Lepisosteus oculatus: one gene and its partners. The protein of the gene in region 1 interacts with the protein of each later gene in a biochemical or structural test. Links are inferred from orthologs where the notes say so. Each region holds a gene or a part of one and is shown on either strand. Other genes may lie near its edges.

Evidence for each region. The genes of interacting proteins can lie anywhere in the genome.
Region 2: of the proteins of rb1 (region 1) and cdk2, one has a biochemical effect on the other in vitro, tested with the Homo sapiens proteins (35 studies listed by BioGRID and IntAct). The link is inferred for Lepisosteus oculatus from reciprocal best matches to the Homo sapiens genes RB1 and CDK2.
Region 3: of the proteins of rb1 (region 1) and cdk9, one has a biochemical effect on the other in vitro, tested with the Homo sapiens proteins (4 studies listed by BioGRID, with this or other methods). The link is inferred for Lepisosteus oculatus from reciprocal best matches to the Homo sapiens genes RB1 and CDK9.

Annotation. Positions count from the first base shown.
Region 1 is NC_090700.1:17,210,574-17,217,951, forward strand, and holds the start of rb1 (retinoblastoma-associated protein), read left to right. Parts: upstream 1-4,329; 5' UTR 4,330-4,491; coding exon 4,492-4,616; intron 4,617-7,378. Other genes in the region: serine/threonine-protein kinase Nek3, read left to right, coding at 490-618, 1,539-1,656, 2,615-2,675. UniProt on the Homo sapiens protein: Tumor suppressor that is a key regulator of the G1/S transition of the cell cycle. The hypophosphorylated form binds transcription regulators of the E2F family, preventing transcription of E2F-responsive genes.
Region 2 is NC_090696.1:15,129,414-15,137,138, forward strand, and holds the start of cdk2 (cyclin-dependent kinase 2), read right to left. Parts: upstream 3,039-7,725; 5' UTR 2,724-3,038; coding exon 2,608-2,723; intron 2,545-2,607; exon of another isoform or gene 2,294-2,544; coding exon of another isoform or gene 2,289-2,293; intron 2,281-2,288; exon of another isoform or gene 2,172-2,280; coding exon of another isoform or gene 2,161-2,171; intron 1,878-2,160; coding exon 1,800-1,877; intron 625-1,799; coding exon 504-624; intron 1-503. UniProt on the Homo sapiens protein: Serine/threonine-protein kinase involved in the control of the cell cycle; essential for meiosis, but dispensable for mitosis. Phosphorylates CABLES1, CTNNB1, CDK2AP2, ERCC6, NBN, USP37, p53/TP53, NPM1, CDK7, RB1, BRCA2, MYC, NPAT, EZH2.
Region 3 is NC_090719.1:14,317,137-14,325,117, forward strand, and holds the start of cdk9 (cyclin-dependent kinase 9), read left to right. Parts: upstream 1-4,943; 5' UTR 4,944-5,032; coding exon 5,033-5,073; intron 5,074-5,257; coding exon 5,258-5,371; intron 5,372-6,378; coding exon 6,379-6,460; intron 6,461-6,768; coding exon 6,769-6,859; intron 6,860-7,257; coding exon 7,258-7,424; intron 7,425-7,981. UniProt on the Homo sapiens protein: Protein kinase involved in the regulation of transcription.

The sequences.
Region 1 (7,378 bases):
AAGCTTGGGACTGGAGGTCAGCTCCAGTACCTTTCAGATTGGGACTGTTTGCTCTCTGGGATCTTTAAGCACAGTTTGGCATCTCTTCCAATCTAAAAATAATTTGTAACATTGTTACTATTTTATCTTGTTGACTTCTGAATTATGTTTTTGCAAATAAATCCATATTTACTCTCTGTATGTGAGTACCCTTGAAGTGCAAAAAAAAAGGACCAGGATTTGAAGCCTGGGGCGTTTCTGCAGTGCTGACACATTGTGCACTTGGGCAGTGTGTTGAATGAGATTGTAAACAATACATTTCTTCAGAAAGGAGGAGAAAGATATTTGAGAAACATGGACAGAATATGTTGTATGAGTGAGCAGTGTGTTAACAGGAGAACTGTTGGTCGTTTAACTTCTCTTTTCCTCAGAATGGTAAGAATCTGGAATGGTAATGTTCAGCACTCTTTGTCTACAGTGTCATGACTGTGGTGTGTGTCTGAATCTCAGGAGGTCTTGAGTATCCCCGTTCCCGCCCTCGAATGCAGTGGGTGAAGAAACCACCAGAGCGACTGCTCAGTCTGCTGGAGAAGGCTCATCTCAGTGAGGCATTCAAGACGTACACTGTGTGCAGGCCAGGTGAGACAGAGAGATGTGCAGAATGGGCTTGCAGCAGGCGAGTAAGGTGGGCGCGGAGAGGTGCAGAGGAAGGTGTGTCGATTTCAGTCCCAGAAGAGGAGTGCAGACTCACTGAGCTTTCTGTTTGATTTGTACTTAATAATTAAAGATGTGTGATGTAAACATTTTGGACTCCAGTACTCAGAAACAGTGACCCCCACCAAAGAAAATATACCAGAAGATAAACCAGTTGTATTGTAAAAGAAAAAAATACTTACAAATACAGGGTCAGATTTTGTTGTGTTGAACATGTTTTGTGGTTGGGACTGTTTAAACACATAATATGAATCTATAAGATATTTTGGTAGAAGTGCAACACAATAAGTAATTGAGATTTAGGCTTATAAAATATTGTATTTAATTCTAATAAATAAAATAAACAAGTAAATCACAACAAGGTCAGTCACTAGGGTCAGTCACAGATTCTTGAATCCCTCATTGTCGTCCGGATACCTAGTCACTGGTCTTCTTGCTATTCTTACAAATTATGCTTTCTGAAATAGAGGAAAGAAAACAGGCATAGTGCTATTCTTGGTTATTGTTGGGGCTTCCTTGCTAGCAGGAAGAATACTTTGTGTTTACTCCATTAATTCCCCAATTTTTAACAGTTTTCTATATTTACATTTTCTGCATAACATTTTACTCCTCCCCAATCTGGAACTGTCAGTTGTGTCTCTACACTTGTCTCGGCCCACAGTGACATCTTTTGCTTTTAAAATCCAGTTGGTTTTTCGGTGAGGACCACGGAAATGGTAATTTAATGAGCTGCTAGAAAGTAAATATGTTGGGTGTGCTGATTGACCTCTCTTTCCTCATGTGTAACCTTTTGTTCTTATAAATCAACGAGGCGGTTTTTTCTTTCTTATTTTTTTGTACCCCAGCCAAATTTAACCCTCTGGTAGGGCCCCTGACACGGGGAGGTTGTGATGACACAGATGGGGACATAGAAGATAGTGTGGATTCCTACCGACTGGAGCCACGCTCTGATGATGAGGACACGTGAGTCTCTATACAGTCCCTGTCACTCATAACGGCACACACTCCCTCCATTGGCTGGCTAGTACTTGGATGGGAGATTGGAAGTAATAAGAAACTGCCTTAACATGGTATGGCAACTGAGAACCTTGAAGAATAAGCTTTTTGAGGTTCTTAAACCTCAGTCTTGAACTTGTGCTATGTGGTAATAGGTTATTCTATTAATCCACAGGAAATCCCCATTTTTAGAACACCCCTGCTTTCTGCTTTCTTGACTAAAACACCATAGTGCTGGCAACTTCCACAGTACTTCCTTGTGCTGCTTATGTTCTCATAGTGCAAAAGAGTTAGGTTTGCACTTGAGGATTTGTGTACATGGTCTAAAGAATGATGAACAAATCTGAAAGAAGATCATTTCCTCTTCTCAACTCAGGTTGAATTGTCGACAGTCCAAATGTTTTGCTTCATACTTGCAGGTTGAATTTTGTAGAAAATGTCCAGGGTGTCTTACTGCTTCAATATCCTTTGATATAGTTTGATTTTTACCATCCTGTGGAAAGGGTATCCTTTGAGGTCTCTGTGAACTTAAGTTGGGGCTCAGATGATTGTTTCACTGTGAAATATCCCTAGGGTATTCTGTTTTAATTTTGGGCAGATGTGTCAATTATAGATCATTCAGACAGTTTTCATTATATTTATAATGCCTGGATAAAGTCTATTTTTCATTCATTCTGCTTTAGCTTTCTTCATGCTTTCCTCCTTCATACTCTACATGTATATTACAACACAGGAAAAAATACTAGCAAGTGACATTATGTCCATCCTGTTTCTTTTATTGGCTGTAGGTCATGACAGCTATTGTTAATATTACTTTTAAGGCCCTGCATTAGTTGCCAAGGCCACAAACAACCTTTTCTGTGAATTTGTGTGTTTGTAACATTTTAACATATAACTGACTTACAGAAGCTCTTGTCATTTTCAGGGATTTTGAAGAGGAAACATTCTCCGACTGGGTGACAGAACTAGAGAAGATTTCCAAGTAAAACAAATGTGACACAGCCATTGCAAACTCTCCTACATTGAATAAAATATTAACTATTTTTCAAAATACCATGGTGTTAACATCAGGTTAACCTGCTTGTTAATGATCTAATTAAAGAAACAGATAATACAAATGTATTTAAATATAATATTTTCATTATGTAAATAAATAATACTGGTGTTATTATTTTGAATGAACAAACCAACAGAATTGGATATCACTGTGTATGAGCCTCATTTTCTTCCCCTGTTTTCCCTGAACTGCCAGCAACTGCAATATGATATAAACTGGCAAAATTTGATTATTTTTAAATAAGATTTATGATCACAATGTGCCAAAGTGCGTTTCATTTGTCTTTTCAAAATCCAGCTTTAGGTTTGAATTTTATTTCAAACTTTGCTACCACATCAGTTTTTGAATTGATTTTCAATAAATACTGAAAATGTTGTTGGTCTCTATGTAATTATTTGCAACTGATGTTCTTCCTCCAGTTGTCATTGAGATTTTGTTTTGGAATTTCTCATTTCTTCTCTTTTGCTTTTATTTTTTGCATTATCAAAGATATGCTTGTTTATGAGAGACAGATTATGTTATGTGTTCTTCTGTGATTTGTGTGGTGCCTTGTCAGCTTTGTGAGATGTGTCTTTTCTTCCTCTTTGTCAAAAACGTTTATACCAGGTGAGAGACTGTGAAAATTCAAGCACCCAGGTTACAGGTCACAATCTCAATCTTACTATCAGAAGACCCCTTTCATAACTGTCCTGAGGCCCAGTGTTTTCTTCAAAGTAGCAAGAAATGAATATTTCTTGAAAGAATGTAAACAATGAAAACCAAGCACCAGCATCTGTCTAGCATAACAGGTTACAAATATTATGAAATGTAAGAAACAGAACAGGTCAAGAATAACCAAACCTACAAATGTGAAAAAACTGGGGTTGATGTAGTCTTTTAATAATTTTCATTACACTTTAACTGGTATATAGTTTTACATAAGGAATTTAAAATAATTTAAAATGCTTTGCAGTATCATTCTGTGTGCAATATACATAACAGAAACGTTTTCCAAATATATCAGGAACCACTGAAGAATTAGATTTATTCTGGGTAAATTCTGATTAAAATTAATGTTTTATATTAATTTATATTGTTTACATATAAACATTATCCAAAGTATAACATTTACACAAATCCACAAAATATATATTTACTGCTTGGATACAGAGAACAATATCATATGTTTTGAAATAATTATTTCATTTATATGACCGTGCAGTACAACGGCAGAAAAATAAATATCATGTGTTAAAGATTTTGCGGGTACCTGTTTTCAAAACTTCCAAGTGTACTTCACGACTCTCATGTGCCATAATTTAAAAGGGGGAGGACCGTGCTAGATTTCAAACAATTCCACGGCTTTTTCAACAAAATAACATGTCTCGTCCGGAGCACTACAGAGTTTTTTTTTTACACTTTGGTTTATGTTTACATGTAAACAATACCAATTTATTATGTAAACAAATAAGTTTAACTTTTTCTTTCATTCTTACGACTGTTACAAAATGAGTTACAAGTTTCTTTCTCTGGCCAGTGGCTAAATGTCACAGGAAGTGACGGAGCAGGGAGGGAGGATATTTCGCAGTTTTCCCGCGGTTTAAGTGCCCTCTGAATCAGTTGAAACCAGAAGTACTTCTTGTCAAACGTGTAGGGGGGGGGATTTAATACTAACAAACAAAAAAGTATCCAAAGACAAAGACGCCGATTCCAGGAGTGGTTCTCCGCTATTACACTTGCACTCGGATCTTGTTAAAGCCATTGACATGCCTCCAAAGAGACGCAGCGCAGCTCCGAGCGCTCAGCTTTCTAAGGCTGCGGAGGATAAACACACCAACCGCGTCGGTGTCCCCGGGACGCCGGGTAGGATCCCCCAGCTCTCTCTTGAAAGGTAACAGCAGATGCCAAGAAATCGAAAATCTCTCTTGTTTCACGAGGAAGAGCTGGGTTTACTTGACCAGCTGTCATGCTGCGTGTAAACCTTTTGAGAGTGTGTAATGTAGGACCCGTTATGTTTGCCTTTGAGCCGCGCAGAGATTTAAGTCTCATGAATGAGGCTGACACTTGGGTTTTTCTGTTCTACTACTCATCTTCCGTATGCAAGAGGTGCAGGTACTACGCGATGTTTTTATTTCGTAGATTTCTTTCCCCTTTAGCCGGTGAAAAAGATTCCGTTTTTGTTTCCTGTGTTTGTCAAATAGGTTCCAGTCCTCATCAATTATACATTTTCGTCTTTGCTCCGGCCAAACAGACGTTCTTTACGTGTATATGCTTATGATAGATGGAGTTTAAAGTTTAGAAAGATATTCAGTCCCAGTTTGTGTTTAGTATGTAGGTGGATATCATGGCTGAAATATAACTAAAGTACGATAGCGTAAACTTAGTTTGTGCAGAGCGTTAGATCAGCAAAATGCACATTTAAACCTCAATATGAAGTCTCTAGTGTTTATAATGATATTTTAACCCAGCGCTTCATAGTCCTTTCCATGTTAAGATATGCCTCTTGTAAGATTTGTAAGTTAGATCACTTTTAGTGAGAATGGAGCTTCCTTGTGACCCACTGAAGTTTCTTAAAGATCAGAGAGGCTTCAATTACTTATTCTAGAAATCTATTTATAGATTTAAATACTACAATATTGTTAAAAAGCTGTCACCCACACCCCTTTGTGTTAGGTTCCTCCTGTTCTCAATTTTAAATCTACTGACCGTTTGTATTCTCTGATTAATGTTTTATTGTTGATTCTAAAAAAAAAGTCCAGTAGGTTGTCTTTGTCAGTGCCTATTGAGGACTGTCTTAATTCGATACTAAAGCAATGGTCTTGATGCCAGTCAGATGTGAAAATACAACCCACTAGGATATTGCTATCAGGATCATTGTGATTGCACTGCATCAGCAGTTTAGGAAGCTTATTCTGGCTTTGCATGTTTACACATTTCTTTTTGCTCTGTTCTATATTCTGTCTCTATTAATTAACTAACTAAATGTGTGGTCTTTATCAGTTTATAGGGAATGTACTTGTAGGACATTAGCATCAATGTCAAAGTTTCTCTGGACTTCATGAATAAACTATCACTTTAGTCTAATTCTTACAGTGTGAGGATATTAAAAAATCTTGGACACTTTAGCACTTAACCACCTGTGTAGAATAATGTAATGACTTGATAATCTGCCTTATATGTGTACATCAATCGAGCAATATTTATTGTGTTAATTACAGCTTAAATAAGAACACATGGCACAAATTAATATTCCACTCCATAATAATAAAATAGTAAATAGGCAAATCTGCTTCATTGCTAAATACTACAAGACGTTTCCGTTATCTGTTGAGGCTTAAATACTGCCATCAAACCAAATTATTTAACACTGAGAGGAAATATTGCTTTACAGCTTCACATAAGACTAATAAACAACTGAAGGGGAAGTGTTCAGATCAGGAATTTAAAACTGTCATAGTATGCAAGCTGCCCCTGTACAAAACAAGAAGACTGAGAAGCAAGCACGGAAAAAAAATCATTAAGTTGAAAGGACTCTGCATGGAGCTCTGTTTATAACTATTCTTAATACACCTTTAATGATGCATCATTTCACGCCACCATACAATAAAACTTTTGAAAGAGACAGGTAACCATAAGTTAATACAACTAAAAGCTAGAATGTAAAAGTGAGTGGTCTGATGTGGACTGGGCGATCATTCCGCAGATGACGACAAAAAGTATTTTCTCTGAGCACCAGAAGGAAAAGCATAGATTAGATAAGATTTAATTGACCCATGCAGGAAAAAAAGGGAGAAGAAAAACAGCACATTTGACTATTACAAAAAATAAGAAAAACATTGCTCATTATACTATTAAAAAAAAAGCAAAACATTCCGCATCATTCTATTGCACAGTATAACACATAACAACATGTAACATTTATAACACATCACAAAAACATATTGCACTCAAGTGGGTGGTAAGAGTCAAAATTGTGTTTATCCGTGACATTTGCATTGACAGTATTAATGGATAGTGGAACAAAGGAATGTTTGTATTGGTTTGACATGCTGCTGAACTTTGGAGCAAACACTCTCAACATGAGTGACCCGCACAGGTAACGGTCTATGTGTACACCTAAGTATTAATATGAGTCAACCTGAGTGATAAGTTTGTTGTGGATTACTACCTGTAAGTGATCAACTGTTCTGGGATCAAAAACTATTTCTTTTTAGATCTAGATCTCCAATTGTTCTGAACATCAGCCTCTCACTTGGTACTGAAACAAGGCCCGTGTCCAAAAGGGGCAACCGATGTGTGTTTTCAAAGGATTAACGGTTCACAGGTGTAGTTAGGAGCCCAAGCTTTCGTCCCCTTTAAGGTGATGAGGAGCGTTTAGAACTTATCCATTTCGGATATGTTCGGGGAGGTTAAAACAGATAATTAATTCACATGCATTTTACTTTTGGTTAAAGTTGACTAACTGTAGTGAGGAGCATATTTTATGTACACTGAATCAGTGGATTTATCCTCCATCACACTTTTTTAGTAAGACTGTTGGTCTTGAAGGTAATTGAAGCAGTTTTGTGGTCAGACAAAATTCTCCTTGTGTAAAACTGTTACATAGGTTGGGATGCTTAGTTCTCACTGTCAAGAGACTGTAGGCTGTTTCTG
Region 2 (7,725 bases), on another chromosome or scaffold:
TACATGCAGATCACATTGGAACATTTCTGAGGTGAAATATCCACTGTACAACCTGTATTTATTTGATTGTACATCACACTACATTAGTCATCAGGGTGACTAGTGAGCAGGAAGGGCCCCTTCACGTCACAATTCATGTGAATTCGCATGCGAGTTTGCGTCAACATGGCGACTTACAGTACTCTCACAAAGTTCACGATTTTGTGCTTGATTCTAAATTTGTACATTTTGTTCTGTAACGGCAAGGAATTTTAATTTGGTTCCCCTTTAAGAGCATGACTCGAGTTCCAGCTCAGGGAGAGAGACAGAGTCTCAGGATGTCGGCGGCAGTGAGTGTCGGTCAGCTCAGCCCCGTGCCTGGTGGGGCTCCCTGGGGATACAGCACTGTCGGGGGGTGTCTGCCCCGGACTGACCCCAGGAGGAGGAGGAAGGAGCGCCTATCCCAGAAGAGGAGTCAGGTCCGTCTCTCGCCAGCATGGCCGCACTCCTGACACTTGCCGTACCTTGACCAGCGGCAGGGCGATGCCCGTGACCGGCGTGGAGTCCATGAACTTCTTGAGGTCCTGGTGCAGGAACTCGAACACCAGGTAGAGCTTGTTCTCCGTGTGGATGACATCGCGCAGCCTGCGGGGGAGAGCAGTCACGTCAGCACGGACAGCGGCCCTGCTGCCGGGCCTGCGGGCCCAATCGGGCCGCACACGAGGCAGACAGAGAAAGGGAGAGGCACACAAGGACAGAGGCAAACGGAGACAGAGGGCCTGGGCAGAAACAGGACAGACGAAACTGCACACTGATTAGTACAGATCTGCACAGGAAGACACACACTGCACACTGCCCTGCGCACACACACTGGGTGCACTGCACGCACACTGGGCACAAAGCAACACACACTAGGGGCACCACACGCACACTGGGAACACACTGCACGCACACTGGGCACACACTGCAAGCACACTGGGCACAAAGCAACACACACTGAAGGCACCGCACGCACACCAGGCACACAGCACACACACTGAAGGCACTGCACCCACACTGAGCACACACTGCACAGACACTGGGCACACCAGGCACACTGGGCGCACGGCAAACAGACCGGGCACACAGCACGCACACAGCACACACACTGAAGGCACTGCACCCACACTGAGCACACACTGCACAGACACTGGGCACACCAGGCACACTGGGCGCACGGCAAACAGACCGGGCACACAGCACGCACACAGCACACACACTGAAGGCACTGCACCCACACTGCACAGACACTGGGCACACCAGGCACACTGGGCGCACGGCAAACACACCGGGCACACAGCACACACACTGAAGGCACCGCACGCACACAGGGCACACAACACACAGCACACTGGGCACAGCAGACACTGATGGCACCGCACGCACACCAGGCACACAGCACACACACTGAAGGCACCACACGCACACCGGACGCACTGCCTGGGGACTCAGCAGAGCAGGGAGAGGGACCGGGGAGTCTATTTACTTTCTTCAACGTGCTCATTCAAGACGGGGAACAGGAGATGCTTCTTTACACAAAGAGCTGTGGGTGTCTGGAGCAGGCATCCCAGCCACATGTCTGACATTTATTGTTCCTTTACCTAGTAAACAACCAGACAAGCAAGGCAGGCAGGTAGGCCAAACGGCTTCCTATCATTCATGATCTCTCTTACAACCGCTGACATACACAAGCTGACAGCTGCACACACAACACCGACAGCAAGCAATAACACCAACAACCTGCCCCCCGCTCCCCGAACCCCTCACTTCCACGGACTCACTTGACAATGTTGGGGTGATTGAGTTCCTTCAGGAGGGAGATCTCTCGGATAGCAGTGCTGGGGACTCCCTCTGTCTCCCTGAAACACACGCAGTGAGCGACACCACGCTCAGTGACGACCAGCAGGACCCCCAACACTCGACAGAGCAACAACAGCTGGGGGACAGGCACCGATCCCAAGCACCTCAGCCAGAAAGGACGGGGCTCAACCCTGGCGGCCTCAGCCTGGCCTGGCTCAGCACCCTCTACATCAGTAGATACACATTTTTTCCCCAGATCAGAAACCCCCCCCAAAAAACACTTAGTTAACTCAGGACTTAAAGTAAACTCGTATAAAACAACAAGTAAAAATAAGAACACACCACGTCTGCATGGCTTCAATTAAGACTGAAGATTAAAACAAAGACAGGAGCCGGTTCATAGACACACAGCACAGCGGACACATCACAGCCCCAGAAAACTATACACAAAAGAAAGGGACTGAAGTCACCGCATGCCCAAGTCTTGAAGTTCACTCGCTCCGAGCGGCTCGGTCTCCGGTGAGTCCACAGGGTTTATAAGGCGCTTCCGTGACGTGGACGAGCCACCGAGCACCAGAGCGCTGCGTCTCAACCCCCACACGGAGGACCCGGACCCGGACCCGGACCGGACCACAGATGCCCCGCGGGCGCCAGACGGGTGGCAGAGGAGAGGAGCTCCGCTTCGGGCGGCCGCGCGCTCACTCGCTCGCCCGCCCGCCCGCACGCGCGGCGCGCAGACGCCGTAAGGAAACACGCGCGCGCATCAGCAACAGGCTGGGCTCGACTCACGTATCTAGCCGGATCTTCTTCAGCGCCACCGTCTCGCCTGTCAGCTTGTTCTTGGCCTTGTAGACCACCCCGTAGGTCCCCTCGCCGATCTTCTCCACTTTCTGAAACGACTCCATGGTTCCTCCCCGCTCTGTGCCTCCACCCACCCCCAGCCCCCCAAAAAAATCCCTTTTGTTGGCCCGAGTGTCTCTGCCGCCGCTGCCGCCGCCGTCTGACCAAAAGACCGACACTCGCTCGACAAAGAACTTCTACGAGCACTTGCCGGGGGTTTGTGGCTGGAGACGGTCCGCCCGGTACCGATGGGGGAACACGAGAGGGGCCCCAAAACCAAAAAGACCCTCCAGCATTGACCTGTAACCCTCTCCCCCACAGCCCAGAAAACGGAAAGTAACTGAAAACCGCCAATTCCCGCGTTGAGGACGCCCCGCCCTCGGCTCCAAACCCCGGCGCAAGACCCCGCCCCTTTGTTATTTCGGCGTTCAATTGGGAAAAAGCTACCAGGCCACGCCCACTTGGGACCGAGTCACGCCCATTGTTGGACGTAACCCCGCCTCTTAGCCCGGACGTCCCCGCCCTCCACCATACAGAAGGACAAAGCGAGGCCTGTCGCTCCGGAAGAAGTGCGGAGCTGCATATCAACTTAAAGGCAGCAGTAGGCACCCGTAGCAACCCGCCTCAATTCAAATTTCACTTTCCCGAAGTGCAGTTGCTGTGCTCCACCACACCGAAAATCTCGTTCGAAAATTTCAGCTCGCAGTCTGTCTGTGACAGCACACGCTGCAATCCTCTAGTACACTGCACAAGCTGTTGAAAGGTGTTCTGATTTGTTATATTTTTATCGGGGGATTATCAAAGTATTATGTATAGTAGTATTTGCTCTTGATTTGTTTCAGGGATGAATGTGAGAATTAAGATGGACACAAATCTGGTATGCAAAAACCATAATTACGTCTTTGAAACATAATTTAGGGATCTCAAATATTTTGAAAGAAAAAGACCAAACACTGCCTCCCTCTCTCTCTCCCAGTGTCTCAGCTCTAACCACTAGCCCACACTGCCTCTCTCTCTCCCAGTGCCTCAGCTCTAACCACTAGCCCACACTGCCTCCCTCCCTCACTCTCCAATCTCCACCTTCACACCAGTCACACTTTGCCGTTTCTGAGCAGATGTGTGACTGTCATGCAGATGGGATCCCATGAGCACATGTGCAGCATCAGACAGATATCATAGTCTGTGCCCCCCCACCACCCCCTGTCTCGGAGGGACATTGCTCCAGGTCTTCCCAGTGGACTCTGAACATGCAGCTTTGTTGCTGAATCCTTGGGTGCAAAATCCCATCGCAGTCGGAGTCACAAGAGCTCCCATAATCCTGATTAACTCCACATTCCACACGCGATTTTGTGCTTCCCCTCATGTGGAGGTTTTCCGTCTGCAAGGATACTCTACTCTGCAGGGATAGATCACTATAACTCTTCACACTCACACTGCTGCCTGCGCAGCTACAATAGAGCAGAGATAATCAACACCGTTCGCTTTTACAGTATAGATCCACAGTGTTATGAAGGTGTTATTAAACCTTAGCCATATAGGGATGTGTAATTATGAACCTTTTGTTCTTGTAACTTTTTTACATGTAAGATGTAAGGTCCATCAAAATCCATGTGTCATTTAATTATAGATACATTTGATAATATTGTTAAGACTTAAGAGCCCATAAAATTAAAAACCAACGGGTTTACGTAACTATAAGGGGGGCACAGAGAGTGTTTTTAGTTTCAATTTGTAAATACAGGTTTAGGTTTCTTATTTCTTTCTATTTTGGATGTGGTGGTAATGGCAGGTCAGGAATGATCGACTGGTGTTATGAATGATTTTAGATTTGTATGAAAAAAAATGCCTCAACCCATCGAAACACAAATCCCAAATCTGCAGCAATACTCTTTGACCCTCAGCCCCTGTAAAACTCTGGAGCGCTTCTGTAACAGCTCTCGAGATTAAAGTTTCATAAGAACCAATTACCCCCAGACAGAACTGACCTCTCTGCCATAATCTCTGAACCTGGCTGGACCACTGGGCACGAGTCTCCGGCCTGCACCAGAGCCGGTCGCGACGAGGGCAGGCTGAGTGAGCCATAGCATACCAGGCTCACCGGCTCCAGCACTGCCCTTCAGGGGCACCGGTGCTGAACATCGGGGTACCAGAAACGTTCTGAGGCAGGAATTAAAGGAGATGCCAGAAGCTCGTCACAGTAATCTCATCACAATGGGTCCTCTAGAAAAGCAGCAGAGTTCAAATTCAGGCAGGGCGACGCCTCACGCTGATAAAGACATAAGGCTTCCCTTACAAAAGGAGTACAAAGACTTAAAGGGAATTTACCTAAAATCTAAAGATTTAAATAAATAAAGTCCCTTTATTGATTTGTATAGTGCCTTTCATGCCAGAGTCAGCTGTGGTGTGGCGCAGTAAAGCATGGAGTGAGCATAGCAGCCCTACAAGAAACTGTAGTAAAAGTCAGTATGGAAGTACAGTAACAGCGCAGGACTGTCAGGGAGAACACGGGGTGAGAAAATCTTTCATGAGGAACAGTATCAGTGTGCAACAGTCCTGTTACATGAGTTCATAAGGTCTTTGCAGAGCCCAGAGATTTAGGCAGAGTGGTATTTCTAAATGGTCAGGTTCTTCTGGGAACAATATCATAAGACTCCATTCTTGTGAGTCTCACCCCTGCTATTCTTGCAAAAAATGCCATTAAAAGCACTGTACGTTTCAACACAAAATCAGCTTGTGCACAACCCAGGTGAGGAATAATCGAACCTTCACCTCCGTTCACTTTCCTCAAAACCCTGCTGCAGATCAGCTCCCGCAGGATGTTAGGAGTATTCATTTATTGTCCAAATCATCCTTCCTTCTCCGAGTCCGGGGGCAGCCCAGGCAGGTTGGCCGGGGTGGGGGGGTGGGATTAAAAGGGCTCATTGTTAAGGGCTCCTGCAGCTTGTCTTGTGACCCCCCTCGCGCAGCTCTGTCAGGGCTGTGTGACTCAAGAGCTCACACACAAGAGCTCCTGAGCCGAGCGCTTTGTGAGGAGGCCTACCAGCATTCGTGGTTGTATTCATCAAGCACATGAGCAGCTCAGTGATGCTGCAGGCAGGGGCTTGGGTGCTTCAGTCTTGTTACGCGTGAGTTTGTAAGGTCTGTGCAAAGCCCAGGAATTCAGGGAAAGAATTTCTTAAAGTTCAAGTTCTTCTGTTCACACTGTCCTATGACACAGCATTTTTGTAAAATTACCTCATTATAACTATATATATATAAAAATAACTATTATGAGCCCTGTTAATTTCAACATAAAGTATTCAGAAACTGTTTCTTTGGATCTGAATTTTAATCCTCAAGGACACCAAGTCTGCAGGTAAAAATAGCAGAGAAATGCACCATTTTTCTCTTGGTCTTTGTTAGGTCTTTGGCGAAGTGTCATGCAATTTTGGAGTGCGACACTGACACGTGTCCCCCTGTCACTACTTCCTGTCCGAGTCTGCGGAACCCTCTTCAGGGCACGTGTTTTCTAAGGGACAGCTGGCGAACGTGGCGCAGGTCTTGGAGGAGCAGAGAAGGGCACACAGCGTGTGTGATGGCTCTGGCAGCAGAGACTGGAAACGGGGTTGTTACAGACATCATCCCTGCAGCACACCCCTGCCACAGCCCACTGTAGTGAGATTTAAACAGGACAAACGAGCAATCTGACTTTGAGCAATCTGCAGTCTGCAATATTGCAATCTGACTGTCTACTGATCTTTCCAAAAATGTTAAATGTGTCACTTTTATAAAAAAATACTATAGTAAAGCACATGTGGACCAGAGTTTCTAACCAGTGTCCCAGTATGCTGACTGGTGACAGTGTGCTGTTGGAGGCTGAATGAGATGGGCACATTAAAAATCTCCTGGTGTTTTTCCTAACCATGGGGTGTGAACCCTGGTGCCCTGGCCTAATTCCGCTCTGGGACTGTAGAGTCTGACCACACCCAAGTTCCCCCTAACCCAGCCACTGAAGCCGTTTCTGACCTGCTGTACAGCTGGACTGCTGTGTGTCGCCCAGGTGGAGCTGCTGATGAGTCCTGTCTTTCGGGATGAAGACATAATGGAAATAATAATAATAATAATAATAAACTTTATTTTATATAGCGCCTTTAAAGGTGGCTTCTCAAAGCGCTTTACAGAATGACAACAACAATAAATAAGAAGAATACACAAGATAAAACATAATAACAATATATAGAGGAGAGCGTGGATGGTGGTACTAAGAAAACCAGAGGGGTGAATAATGGAACCAGTTCAGTAAAGGCTTTTCTGAAGAAGAGGGTTTTGAGTCTGGAGTTGAAGGAGTTTAGAGAAGTTTTAGAGAAGTTTAGAGAAGTTTTGACTCTGATATCCTTGGGGAGAGAGTTCCAGAGCTTGGGGGCATAACAGGAGAAGGCCCTGTCACCCATACAATGTAGACGGGCTTGGGGGACAGTAAGGAGAGCAGAATTAGAAGAGAGAAGGTTGTGAGGTGGGGAACAGGGCGATAATAGTTCAGACAGGTACTGAGGTGCCAAGCCACGCAGAGCCTTATAGGTGAGCATGAGGATTTTAAAGATGGGATTTGACCGGGAGCCAGTGCAAGGACTCCAGGATAGGAGTAATGTGATCATTTGCACTAGACCTGGTCAGGATTCTGGCTGCTGAGTTTTGGACATACTGCAGTTTGTTCAAAGTAGATTTAGGTACCCCAGCAAGTAGAGCATTACAGTAGTCAATTCGAGAGAACACAAATGTGTTGATCAGCTTTTCAGCCACAGCTAGTGATAGCATAGGACGTAGTCTAGCAATATTTCTGAGGTGAAAAAAAAGATGTTTTGACAGTATGCTGTACATGTTGGTCGAATGTTAAGCTAGAATCGAATATAACCCCAAGGTTTTTCAATTAAGATTGAAGCTCAAGTACAGAACCATCTACAGATAGGGTTACAGGACTGGCTTTAAGAAGTTGATGGGGGGTGCCAATAAGCATGACTTCGGTCTTGTCGCAGTTAAGATGAGGGAAGTTTTGAGTCATCCAAATTTTTATGTCAGAGATGCAATTAG
Region 3 (7,981 bases), on another chromosome or scaffold:
TCCCACGGCCAGCAGAGGAATCCTACTCTGTTGGGCCCCTGAGCAAGACCCTTAACCCCAACTGCTCCAGGGGCGCCGTATAAATGGCTGACTCTGCGCTTTGACCCCAAGCTTCTCTCCCCGTGTGTGTGTCTCATGGAGAGCAAGTTGGGGTCTGCAAAAAGACAAATTCCTAATGCAAGAAATTGTATATGGCCAATAAAGTGATCTTAAATTATCTTCTTCTACAACCTGTGCCAGGCACCAAAGAGCCCGGTCAAGCACAGGTTCCACTCCTTCATCAGACTGGGGTTCTGATGCCCCTAGGAGCCTGGGACTCATGCTTAGCTGAGCAAACACAAGAGCCCTTTACCACGGCAGTGTGGATGAACCGGGACAACACTGTCCATCTTCTGCAAGCTAGGACAGCGCTGACCTATCAGGGAATGACAACGGGCTGGAAGTCACAGGAGTGAACAGAAAAACACAGCTTCTGCTTTGGCTTCTGGCATCCATTATGAAAGAGGAGTGTGGATCAATCTAAATAACCCGAAGTGGGGAGTCAGGGAGACCTAGGGGAAGACCCTTGCAGGCCTTAGGGAAAAGGACGAAGAGAGACGTTAGTAAGTGGGGACTTTCCACTGCAAAGGGAAGATGAAAAGAACTGTGGGCCTTGGGCAAAGACTGCAGGGAGAGGACAATGAGGCATTCTGTTCTAATCAGCCCCTGTGAACGGTCAGACATTCGCAGTTTCAGAGCCAAAACTGGATGGAGACGGGCACACCAGGGGGCACACTGGTCCCCAAACAAAGCGCTGTTAAGATGCAAATGCAAGAGGGAGGCGGGGGAGGGGGTGTTTTTCACACTTCGCAAGGCCCAGCCGAGCTCCTGTCATGACACTGCCTGTAACACAAAACTGAATCTGTAAACTATTTCAATCAAATGTATTTAAAAACAAACAAACTCTGTCACTACGTATTTCAAATAATAATTCCAACACACTACAAATAGCCTATTGCTTATCAGACAGGAAGTAATCATAACCATTCTGTTTTAAATTAGTTTAATTAACCGTTAGGACTTGAACTCCCTGAGATGTATTTTTCCCACTTGGGAGCTTTGTGATTTTCTCTGCTCCATGTCTAATGTTTGTTCAGTTGGCCCTGTACTATACTCATGACTTCTGCTACAATAATGGATAAAAAGTGCAGTGTTGTTCATCTCAGCAAATCACAAAATGCTTTACACGTGGAGGCATGAGAAAGCACTTCCCCAAATGAATACAGGGGAACTTCAGGAAGGCCAGACTGTACAAGACTTTAGTGCAATTTAGCCAGGGCACCAGGGTTAACACCCAAACTCTTTCGAAAAGTACCATATGACCACTTATTTAGGACTAGTTTTAACATCTCATGTGAAGTATGGAACCTACTAGTGTACAGTGTCTCCAGTCAGCTCAGTGTGAAACTGGTTTAGAAACTGTGGTCCTGAGGAGAGAGTGCCTCCTAGTGGTTCACCCGAGTAACGATCTGTGAAAGCGCTCCTGGGCTGTGAAGGCAGCAATACCGAACATATATTGAATTGATCTTACCCGCAAAAGATGTAAAGGGGTCTCAAGAGAACTTAAGATTGGTTGCAAGAACACCAGCATACGCCACACACACGGACAGTGCACCGGCAGCTCTAGAAATAGTCTAGACTTGCATCCACTGCAGAATATGACTACAGTAAAGATGCTGCCACAAAGTGTGGGAATCTCTGGGCACTCTGTGGAGCTGCGAGCATTTTCATGACCCGAACGCCAGTTTCGATGACAGAAGGCCAGCCTAGTGAAAGATATTATAAGCCAAAGTCTATAGTGCTCCTAATGGAAGCTCCACTCTGGGGTTAGCACTAGCGTGTGGAATCATTTTCAAGGACAGACTTTTTCCTTGCACTCCGATGCTTTGCCCGCAGCATTACAGAGGCCACACGACGCGATTCTCCTCTTCTCGCCTCTCACCGGGCAGAACCACTCTCTCATCCGGACAAACAGAAAAGCGAAACGCCGCACAGGACTCTACGAGAGAGCGCACGGTCCTGCCCAGTCTTTCACCATTCGCACAGGTGGAGAAGAGAGCCGCCTCGCACGATTCACAGGTTGGAACGTGCGGAGGAGACGCCCGCAAGTGAACGGCACACAGGTGGAAGATGTGCATGAACCTTCCCTATTAACAGTGGTTAATGTTCCCCTCGGGCACTGGGTGTTGGAAATTGCTCAGTCTTGGTGTCATGTGGGTGAGCTGAAGACGGGGTCCCACAGTTGCAGACGCCAGTTAGCACCTTCAAGCCTTTTGTTTTTCCCTTGTGCGCTGATCACAGTCTGCAAAGGACCTTGAAGTCTTTTGGGTGTTACAACATTCTCTGACACATATAGCAAATAAATGAGATTAGCCCACATCGAGAGCCTTAGATGTGGGACAGACAATAGACACAGTGGGCAGGCCCTTTGGGCACTTGTCCTAACAGGATAGCTGGATCAGTGAGGATTTACTGTTCAGAGGGGAGGAAGATCAGACACCTAATCATCTTAGTGACAAATGACAGAGAGGAAAAATAAACAGAATATATTGTTAAAAGGGCAAAACTCTCTTCTTAGTTTAAATTCCAGAGTAGACTGTGATTGTAATCTGATTAGATATCCTGCTGGCTCTTGGGCAGGAATGCAGATACCTTCTCAGTCAAGGATTTCTTTCTTAAAGGAAATTGAGAAAGGTAGCACGAAAACAACAAGCTAAATCTGCTTAACAGTTTGACTGGTGAATCTCATTAGTGTAAACTGTGGGGGGATGAACACATTTCTCTATAAGGATAACATCCCACCAAATCCACATGTGCAGAGGTTATTGAGCACTTATCACCCGCCGTGCCGAAGCCCGGCTACTCAATACGAAAGTGCAGCAAAAGAGTGTGAATTGGGATTTTCACAAACTGGAAAACAAAGTGAGCAGTACTGTAATTCTAAATGGAGACCAACGCTGAAATCATTCTGCTACAGGATCTACCGCTATACAACAGATTACAAATTGGTATTGTCATAATGCTCTTATTTCTTCAACCTTCTGATTTAATGCCATTTATTTAACTGTCAATTATTTCCTGGAGCAATATAAAGCAGTGCGAAAGCTCATGATCTCCAGTGTCACAAAGTATAGGTGGACTTGTGCTCAGTTGTAGAAATTCAGAGGCTAAAAACTGGAGGAAAACAGGTTCCCCGGACAAGGCTCGTTAAAATGCAAATACAACTGCGACTGTACCAGGGGGTGAAGGGAGGGTTCACACCTCCAAAGGCCCAATCAAACTCTTGACGCTTCTCATGGTCTCTTCACGCAACACGGAATTTACCCTGTGAATGATTTGGAGTTATCGTATTTTAAACAAATCTGTTACTAGGTATTTTAAAAATAAGTTCAATGCATGATATTCCAACACACAATACAAAATAGCCTGTTGACTATGAGACAGGATGTAATCATACCCATACTATTTTAAATTACTTGAATTCACCTTTAATTAATTTTATTTAATTAACTCCCTGAGGCTAATTTGCCCTTTCAGGACCTTTGTGTTTCTCTCTGCTCCAATTCTATGGCTGTCCAGTTGAGTCTGTACTATAATATTCACCATGACATGGACTATAATAATGAATATGTCCTTGAGTTTTATAGCACCGTTCATCTCAAAAGATCACAAAACGCTTTACATGTACGGTAAAAATGGGGGAACCGACGTATATGTAGAATATTTTCTTTAGAAAAAGTAGAAAATAACTTTAAAAATCATACATGCATAGGGTCTGTTTTTCCACTCTGATCGTCTTGTCAGTTCCTGCAGGAGGAAGTCAGAAGCTGAGCACGGCTGGTCTTGCTCAGTACTGGGATGAGATTTCATGGCGTAAAAGTTCAGCAGTGTCAAACTTCCACCAGTAGACGGCGACCTTCCCTCTGAACCACTAATTCCGAACCAGTGCCTCGATTAGTGATCGTGTGCTCATGGAGTTCTGGAAAAAACAACAGTTCGTCTAATGTTCAACGTCGTTCTCATGTTGGAAAACGTTTAAATACAGAGTTCGTAAAAGTTCTATGTGCTTCAAAGACAAATTCTTTAAAATCTATTTAAAAACACCCTTGGATAACTGGTTTACAGAAATTTCCTAGCATATAAATTTATGTAATGTGACCCCCTAACTTAATCTTCAAATCGATGTGGTTTGTTCTGCTTCGTTCATTTGACGTTGTCTTTGTGCTGTCGTGTTGCAGCACGTGTGAGTATATGTACATGCTTGCATTTCCATTTTTTTTTTGTATACAAAACGTAAAATGTAAATAAAAAATAGTGCTCATGTATATAATGCTTCATGTAACAGCGCCGTCCTTCGGTCAAGAACTTAAACTGAGGTCCGGACCCCTTGGTCATGAAAGATCCCATTGGGTTTCCTAGCGGGAACAGATTTCAAGGGATATACTGAATGGAACAGGACACTGTAACTTATTTATTTTGCACTAAAAGCCACTACATGCCACGGCACTGTTCATCACAGTAGAGAAGCTCACCACGGTGTCCGGGCTAAGCTCTGTTTTGGTTTTGCACAACCTGGCCTCCTTTAATTTTCCCTGCTGCGTGTCGTACCTGAATAAGGAGGGTATTAAAAAATTGTTAACGTTTACTTTTTACTTTAATAAGATATGGACGATAAATTGACTGCGCCGGTCTGGCTGTAAATGAGTAATTACTCATAAAGGATCTGCGTAACCGGTTCCTCGGTTGATGGACAGCTCCAGCGCCCACTCACAGTTCAGCTTTCCGGTTTTCAGCACTTCCAATCCGTGTAGTCATACGGCACCGATTCACCAATCAGAAGGCGATAGACCCGCCCGCGGGTTGAGCCCGGGGCCCCGTGCTATGGCAACCAACCGGAAGTGTGCGGGGAAACGGCTGCCGTAAACGCGTTCTGCGGAGGACTGCGGCGCACAGTCTCTACAGGGCAGCGGAAAGGCGTACTGCAGCTCTCGGGATGCAGCGTGACAGAGCAGGGACTTCGGGTGGTGGTGACAAGTAAGGACGTTGTTGTTTTTTTTTTTGGCGAAGATCAAACGCTTTCTTAAGATTTTCCGTCGGAGGTGAAATTCGGTTGATTCCCGGGTAGGATCACGCAGATCTGAGGCCTGAAGGAGGGTTACCTCTCGCTAGCGTGTGGGTGATGGCTGAGCTCCGTGTCTCCCTTGTCTCTCTCTCTCAGGGCCGAGCGGGAGACAGCGATGATGTCGAAGTATTATGATGGTGTCGAGTTCCCTTTCTGCGATGAGTTTTCCAAGTATGAGAAGCTCGCCAAGATCGGGCAGGGAACCTTTGGGTAAGTTTATTTTGCTCGCACGTCGTTCAACGTTTCCGTTTCCGCCAAAGTATTGTTTCGACCCACATGTGCGGCATATTGTCAAAACATCTTTTTTTCACCTCGGAAATCTCGCTCGACTACGCCCTGTGCCGTCACTAACTGTGGCTGAAAAGCTGATCAACACGTTTGTGTTCGCTCGAATTGACTACTGTAATGCTCTACTCGCTGGGGTGTCTAAATATACTTTGAACAAACTGCAGTGTGTCCAAAATTCAAAATATCAGAGAGTCACCTTCTCTAAACTCCGTCAAATCCAGACTCAAAACCTTCTTCTTCAGAAAAGCCTTTACTTAACTGTTCCATTCTTCACCCCTCTGCTTTTCTTAGTTCCAGCATCCACGGTCTCCTCTACATATTGTAATTGTGTTTTATCATGTGTATTCTTCTTATTTATTGTTGTTGTCATTCTGTAAAGCGCTTTGAGAAGCCACCTTTAAAGGTGCTATATAAAATAAAGTTGTTATTATTATTATTATTTTGATGTGCTCGGGTGTGTAGCAGTCCAGTTGCCATCTAACGCACGATCAACAATAACGATGGGATATTTTTCTTGGATTTGTCCAAGCTTATTTTGAAAGCCCCATATGTGTAAAAACTCACAGTTAAATACATTCTGATTCCATATTGTAATGCAGTAAAATGTAAGAAAGTCCAGGGGAGGTGAGTACGTTTGATAGCAACTGCAGCTGAATAGAAAAATTCCACTCCACACACACGATATGGGGAACATGTTCTGATTTGGTAAAATAATAAACAAATAGTATGGCTGTGGAGCCTTCTTTGGATGTAAGAAAGATAGTAATGTCTCCTATATGAAGTCATTTTATTTTATATTGTATTTTTATTGAAACATTACTGTAGTCAGTGTGTAATCCGAAATCTTAAAATCGGTTGGATTTCCTGGTGTTGGAGACTTGAAGTGCATTTTGTTGGTTTTTGATGCAGGTTTTGTGTTGTGTCCCCAGGGAGGTCTTTAAAGCTAAGCACAGGCAGACTGGCAAGAAGGTAGCCTTGAAGAAGGTTCTAATGGAAAATGAGAAAGAAGGGGTAAGAATCGTTTTTTCCTTTTTCGCCGTCACTGAGTAGATTGTGCTGACGAGACAAAAAAGCTCAAAGAGAGAGGCAGATGGAAAAACCAGCGTGTACTCTTCATTCCTGTCTTTTAATTCGATGCTGTCATTCCACTGTTTTGGTCATCCTTGCTTCTGTATTACGATACTGTAAAAATACGCAACTTTATAAACTGAACATAGTGAACAAATCTCCCTGGCTCCCATTTTTAAGCAGCATTTTCTATTCATTTAATCTTGAAAAGTGGAAATGCAGGTAGCACTCACTGTCACGTTCTTCTTCAGTTTCCCATTACAGCCCTGAGAGAGATTAAGATCCTCCAGCTGTTAAAACACGAGAATGTAGTGAATTTGATTGAGATCTGCAGAACAAAAGGTAAGTCCTCAGAAACTCATCAAGTTGTTTTTTTTCTGTGTACTTTTTTATAGGGCACGAGCAAATACGTAAATTGGTTTATTAAATCTTTATTAAAGAGTAGAAAACAAAAGTGAACACTTTTCAGTTGTTAAAAGGATGTAAAGCTGTTAAGAACACCCGAAACGTTGTTTTCTTTTGACATTTTGCATGAAAATAACCCTTACGTGTTACCTCATACGTAGCATAACCTAAAATAGTTTGATTATTGATATATAGATGTCGTAGTAAACAAACAGAATTGGCTATGTAAATTGTATTCTTATAGAAATACTGAATATCTAAGAATATAAGTATTTTTTAATTAATGTGCTTATTCAATAAAAAGAAAATTAAAGTGTTTTTTTTTTTAATTCCAGCCACCCAGTACAATCGATACAAAGGCAGCATCTACCTGGTGTTTGACTTCTGTGAACATGACTTGGCTGGGTTACTCAGTAATGCCAACGTCAAGTTTACTTTGGCCGAAATCAAAAAAGTCATGCAGATGTTGCTAAATGGTTTATATTACATTCACCGAAATAAGGTAAGAACTGTTTTTTGTTTTGTTTTTAAATCATTTCCTTTCTAAACCTTTATTAAATAGTTATGGACTTCTGTGAAATGTTTTGTTTTTACATTAACACTTACAAAACATTGAATCGTTTCCCTCTTGGTTATGCAACAGACACTTTGCGTTCAGAATTCAAAACCTTGCATGCTAAAGGGTTTATGTGTTTGTTTCTGTTGTTTTCAATGTTTTAGCTTTCTTAGTGCTGTGATTGCCTTTAGACAGTTGTGGTGGAATATGAAACTTTCTAAGAATCCCAGATCTTGTTTGTAAACCGTTTCACCCTGTATTATCAGGGAATTTGTAGCGACACAAGATTACTTAAGGACAATAAAACTTGAAGCTGGTATGCTGTTCTTGCTAGCTCTCCAACCTCAATTCCACTTGATAGGAGAGTGAAACACATGCTGAGAGATGACTAGGACTGATAGTGATACACTGATTCAGTTGTAAGACAGAATGCCCAGAGTATGTGCTACTGTGCTACTGTGAGTATGAACACAGTCAGTTGTCACCAAATATCCAAGTGAAGG